2 linked regions of the Saccharomyces cerevisiae S288C genome follow. The gene in region 1 interacts genetically with each later gene. Each region holds a gene or a part of one and is shown on either strand. Other genes may lie near its edges.

Region 1 (3,526 bases):
ATGAATTCGCCCTCTTGGCCAACCTTAGTCTCAATGAAAATTTGCCGTTAACATTGAGAGAGCTCAGTACTAGAGTCATTACCAGCTGCTTGAGAAACAATCCTCCTGTAGTCGAGTTCATTAATGAAAGTTTTCCAAATTTTAAAAGCAAAATCATGGCCGCTCTGTCAAATTTGAATGATTCTAACCACAGATCCTCTAATATCCTAATAAAAAGATACTTGTCCATTTTAAACGAATTACCTGTCACATCCGAAGATCTTCCTATATACTCTACGGTTGTTTTACAAAATGTATATGAAAGAAACAACAAGGACAAACAGTTACAAATAAAAGTCCTGGAGTTGATCAGCAAAATTTTGAAGGCCGACATGTACGAAAATGACGATACAAATCTAATTTTGTTCAAAAGAAATGCTGAGAATTGGTCGTCAAATCTGCAAGAGTGGGCAAACGAGTTCCAAGAGATGGTCCAGAACAAAAGTATAGATGAACTACATACAAGAACGTTTTTTGACACCCTTTACAACTTGAAGAAAATTTTCAAAAGTGACATCACGATCAACAAAGGGTTTTTGAATTGGTTAGCGCAACAATGTAAAGCCAGGCAATCTAACTTGGACAATGGGCTCCAAGAGAGAGATACTGAACAAGACTCATTTGATAAGAAACTTATCGACAGCAGACACTTGATCTTTGGCAACCCCATGGCTCATAGAATAAAAAATTTCAGAGATGAACTCTGATTTCACTGTCATTGCATATATAGTTTAATATTAATAATATTTTTTTCAATTAATATTTCGTGAATCTTATTAGAGATATATTATATATCCGTGTCTAATTTTTAGTTACTTCATCCAAAAACGTCCCGTCGTTGGCCAGTCTATTTCTAAATTTGTCCCACCATGTATCAAACCTCTTGATGGGCACGTTTCCCTGAGCATCTAGGAACCCTGATAAATAGTTATATGCATGCTGAACGATTTTGGCGGCCAATTCTTGTGTCAATGAAGGGTAAACTTGTGCCAACTGCCCTGCCGTGGTAATATTTCGAATTATTCCTAAGTTAGGTCTTGACAAGATCAATGAGTTGTTCTTTTGTGCTTCGGCATTCATGCTGGCCTTCCACTCTTCTAATTTCATCATTCCTTGTTCTCGAGGCTCAATGGAAATACCAATAATCAATTCTGATATGTTATTACTGCTACTTCCATTGGTGTCAGTAAACGGATCAGCGGCCCCCGAACCATCATCTACATCCATGTCTATCTCACCTAATCCATCACTTGTATCTCCAGCGTCTTTCTTCGAGCTCGGTATTTGCACTTTGAATATGGCACTGGGTTTCTCACTGCTTAGGTACCCAAATAGTTTAAATTCTTCCTGAGGGCTAAGTTTGAAATAGACTGTAGCTATATAATCCTGAGGAAAGGTAACATTAGGTAATATAAACAGTGTTATATGCGAGTATAGTTTCGGTTTCGTTCGAGAAAGGACAATTGTATGCTGTAACCCATTTGAATTGGGGACTTCTACCGATAGTTGCAATGGATTTCCTGAGGCAATTGCAGCAAACATTTCTTTATTTTCTCTCACTCAAATATTTCTTATCAATCTCCGAATTTGCAAATTTATTAGACCACTTATTTTCGTATTTAAAGGGTGAGTCGAATTGACGTATTTTAAATAAAATGTAGATCTCTCCTTTTATCCCCAAATTTCGCTTTTAGTACCCGATTCCTATATAACTCTTCCAGAACGTTCGGTCGGCTTCATTAAGAAAATTCAATTAAACTTAATTAAACTTAATCAAGCTTAATCATAATAACAAAATAAACGTATACAGTAGTGGCTAATTACATTATGTATATGACGTATTTACATGACCCTATTGTATCGAAACCTTTTATTAATATTATTATTACTTTTTCTCTCTTTGCAAGAACTGTAAACCTTCGGATAATCTTTTGTTACTTTCCTTGATGCCCAAAATATCTATCATGGCTGCTATTTTGGCACCTGGGTGACATCCCGCAAGAGCAAATCTCATTGCCTGATACGTGACTTTCCTAGAAAAACCGTTCTCATAATACATCGTTTCGACCATAGATTCGACTTCTTGAGCATCGGTGCCCTCTTGAAACTGTCCAAGCTTCTTCAATAAGTGAGCAATGTGGCGGCTTTCGTTCTTGCTTAGAAATTTCGTGACAGCATCATTATCATTATATTTGGGCTTTTCAAAAAAATAATAAAATTCATCATGAAAATCGTTAATCCTTGATAGAGAACCACCACAGTTCAGTAAAATTTTAGCTACTTTCTCACGGCTTATGGTAGATGTGTTATATATGGACTCTAAAGAAGGCATAATGTCGTCGACAAGCTCCCTCAATGTAGAAGGATTAAGTATTCTTTTTTGCAAAAAATGCTTATTGAAGAACCACAATTTTTTATCATCGACTTTGGCATTTCCCTTCGTCAAACCATTCAAATTAAAAATGGTTTCCAATTCCTCCATTGAAAAACACTCATGCTTTTTCGAAGCCAGATCTCTTGGAGGAGACCAGCCAAATAGCGCACAAAAGTTAATCAAAGCTTCTGGCAAAACTCCCTGTCTTTTTAAATCCGAGATAGACATATCACCTTTTCTTTTACTCAATTTCTTATCACCAACCGTCGTCAATAAGGGAATGTGGATGAACTTTGGGCAAGCCCACCCAAATGCATTATATAGGGCGATATGTTTAGGAGTAGAGGGCAGCCATTCCTCACCTCTTATAACATGGGTTATTCCCATCAAATGGTCATCCACAACATTTGCCAGATGATAGGTTGGCAACTTATCCGACTTAACAAGGATAAGGTCATCGTACCGTTTATCGTTAAAGTTTACTTGCGGTTGAAGATTTATTTGTCCATGTAAAAGATCAGTAAACGTTGGATATCGTTCTGGCGATTTAAACCGCACAGTGAAAGGTATACCTTGCGCTAGCTTAGATTTTATTTCTTCCTCCCCTAAGTGTGCACAACATCGATCATAGCTTGCCATCGAAGGAGGTTTCAATTCCATTGCAGAGTGTCTCAAATCGTTCAATCGCTCCTTTGAACAAAAACATCTATACGCCTTCCCAGAAGATAGTAATATTTTTACATATTTGTCATATATTAGTTTCCTTTCACTTTGCTTTATAGGGGTTTCATCGTAGTTTATGTTACACCATTTCAGAATCTCGTAGATGTTTTCTTCTGCTCCCTCTATTAGCCTCTTCTGGTCTGTATCTTCTAAACGAAGCAAAAACTGCCCATTGGTGTTTCTTGCTAATAGGTAATTGTAAAGGGCTGTTCTCAGTGACCCCAAGTGTAAAAACCCAGTTGGAGAAGGCGCAAACCTAGTTCTAACAGGTAAAGAAGGATGGATATCTTCCTTTATTTTCTTGGATAACAGAGATTTCTTCAATGGTGAGAGACCTACGCCCTTTATTAGCTTCGAAGGTGAACAATAAGACCGTGTCGGTATTCTCAA
Region 2 (3,062 bases), on another chromosome or scaffold:
GCTCCAGGTCAGGCTGTCACCTTTACCGTTTATGAATATGTAAGGGAGCATTTAGAAAATTTGGGTATATTCAAGAAGAATGACACACCAAAGCCAAAGCCATTAAAGTAGATGATGAACAATGGGACTACAAAATGAAATAAAGAAAAAATAGAAATAGGCTAGAAGATCAATTATTAATCGCCCTATTCTTCCTTATTACCTACACAAAATAAAGCAGCAACATAAGAAACAAAAACAAAATGAAAACAAACCAAATAAATCTATGTAAGCATACTCATTTCAATTTGATATTCATTACTTGACTTTTTTGTCCTTATTTGAGGCTCCATAAGCGCGCCATTTTTCCCTACTCCCTTTTTTCGTAAATAGTAATAATGTGCTGAAAAGAACAATGAAGTAGTTATCATACATATTCCGTCGTGTCGATATGAGGGGAGGTGTCTCTTTCTTTCATCCCTTGTCGCAACCTCCAATATATAAGAGCATAAGCAACTGATCTTACTTTAGTAATTAACTTAGCATACCTAGCCCGAAGGAAGAAAAAAAATTCACCTCAACAACATGGTTCCTAAGTTTTACAAACTTTCAAACGGCTTCAAAATCCCAAGCATTGCTTTGGGAACCTACGATATTCCAAGATCGCAAACAGCCGAAATTGTGTATGAAGGTGTCAAGTGCGGCTACCGTCATTTCGATACTGCTGTTCTTTATGGTAATGAGAAGGAAGTTGGCGATGGTATCATTAAATGGTTGAACGAAGATCCAGGGAACCATAAACGTGAGGAAATCTTCTACACTACTAAATTATGGAATTCGCAAAACGGATATAAAAGAGCTAAAGCTGCCATTCGGCAATGTTTGAATGAAGTCTCGGGCTTGCAATACATCGATCTTCTTTTGATTCATTCGCCACTGGAAGGTTCTAAATTAAGGTTGGAAACTTGGCGCGCCATGCAAGAAGCGGTTGATGAAGGATTGGTTAAGTCTATAGGGGTTTCCAACTATGGGAAAAAGCACATTGATGAACTTTTGAACTGGCCAGAACTGAAGCACAAGCCAGTGGTCAACCAAATCGAGATATCACCTTGGATTATGAGACAAGAATTAGCAGATTACTGTAAATCTAAAGGTCTCGTCGTCGAAGCCTTTGCCCCATTGTGTCACGGCTACAAAATGACTAATCCAGATTTATTAAAAGTTTGCAAAGAGGTGGACCGTAATCCAGGTCAAGTTTTGATTCGTTGGTCTTTACAACACGGTTATTTACCACTACCGAAGACTAAAACTGTGAAGAGGTTAGAAGGTAACCTTGCAGCCTACAACTTTGAACTGTCAGACGAACAGATGAAATTTCTTGATCATCCTGATGCTTATGAGCCTACCGATTGGGAATGCACAGACGCGCCATAAAAAGAAAATGCGAACCGTAGAATAACGTATATAGAACATATAATTAGTTTACGTTTCACAAAGTATTAATATTACATGTAGCTTTTTCAGGACTTTCGATCTAAATCAAAGATTAAAGGAGCTGCTAGAGGTAGAAAAGGAAATCATTGACTTTTCTTGAAGATTTATGAGCGGGTAACTGGAGATGGAAATTTTCAGAAAAATTGTAAATGGATGCGATGACTTCGATGTGACGTTACTAGTCTTACCATTGTAAAAACCACTATCGGTGCCAAAAGATAAGCGCAATCAACTAAGAAATTTACCACGCTCTTTGTATTGTATTTATCTCCAATTTAATCTTTCTTTTGGTGTGAAAATTTAGCGAAAATGTCATTGGTGAATTCGTTAACACACTACGAAATTTTAAGAATTCCATCGGATGCAACACAAGATGAAATCAAAAAGGCATATAGGAATCGGTTACTAAATACGCACCCCGATAAACTTTCTAAAAGCATACATGATACGGTTAGCAACGTCACAATCAATAAGATTCAAGATGCTTATAAAATACTATCGAATATAAAAACTCGTCGCGAATATGATAGGTTGATCCTTGAAAACTATAAACGCCAAGGATTTCATAATTGTGGTGATGGGCTGGATGAATTTTCCTTAGACGATTTCTCATTTGATGAAGATAAGCTGGAGTTTATGATGAATTGTCCTCGCTGTCAATTTGTTGGTGGTTTTCATTTTAGTGAGAGTTTGTTAGATGAATGCATTGATAATGTAGACGCTATGGAACGGAGTCATTCTGGTTATCAATTATTAACCCAATGTAGCGCATGCAGCTTATGGCTGAAGGTTAATTTTGACATCGAGGAAGAGCAAGAAGGACAATAATGAAAATGGGAGGGGAAATTGAGCATATCAGATAAATCTGTTTATAGAATTATTATTTTACTTCGTGGGAAATCGAATGGTGTATATAAAAGAGGTTGTAAAATTGACGAAATAAATAGTATTTAGGCAACTAAAGATAAAAAAATATTATTTATTTTTATTCGCGGTGCGTTGCCAGATTTTTTTTGACATGCGGAATTTTGGTAAAAAGAAAAATGCAGATATGAATAGTAAACAAAGGAATAAAAAGCCTTTCATGAAGAAGTTCGTGTTCGAGATCTTCTTCCTTCTTTTTCGCTGTCGACGATAGATATGAATGCTTTTGCCATTGATTTCAAATCCGTCATTAAGCTAACATGACCTGAAGAACTGGCGATTTTACAAACAACTGGAAAGCCTCTCTGTTCAGGCAATAACCATTTATGGTGAACAACACCGTCGCCCGGACCATAGTAAAAATCTTCATAATTCCCATCTTTTATATCTTGTATACCGTTCACTTTAGCACCTCTAACAGTGGGAACCTTGTTACCGTAAACCATGGCCAATGGAGGATATTCTTTGTTCGGGTCGTAATCTAAGCTATCCAAATAATTCTTTGTACGTTTTAAAGTTCTCGCTAAATATTCACAGCTATCTTCATAAGATGTATGGAAGACTTCATCGAAAGGCACATCCCTTGGTACCTGTTTATTATTGCCGGCTACATTCCTAACAACAGGTGCATTTAGGACAAACTTGGTAGTTGCGTTTAGGGTAGC

Evidence for each region.
Region 2: mutations in OPI10 (region 1) and JJJ3 together harm fitness more than expected from each alone (negative genetic interaction), as found in Saccharomyces cerevisiae (2 studies listed by BioGRID).

The regions. Positions count from the first base shown.
Region 1 is NC_001147.6:263,484-267,009, reverse strand, and holds OPI10 (Opi10p), read right to left. Parts: upstream 1,582-3,526; coding exon 841-1,581; downstream 1-840. Other genes in the region: SIL1 (Sil1p), read left to right, coding at 1-746; glutamate--tRNA ligase MSE1, read right to left, coding at 1,925-3,526. UniProt on the Saccharomyces cerevisiae protein: Involved in phospholipid biosynthesis.
Region 2 is NC_001142.9:610,631-613,692, forward strand, and holds JJJ3 (Jjj3p), read left to right. Parts: upstream 1-1,782; coding exon 1,783-2,301; downstream 2,302-3,062. Other genes in the region: SFC1 (Sfc1p), read left to right, coding at 1-111; YJR096W (aldo-keto reductase superfamily protein), read left to right, coding at 565-1,413; YJR098C (uncharacterized protein), read right to left, coding at 2,556-3,062.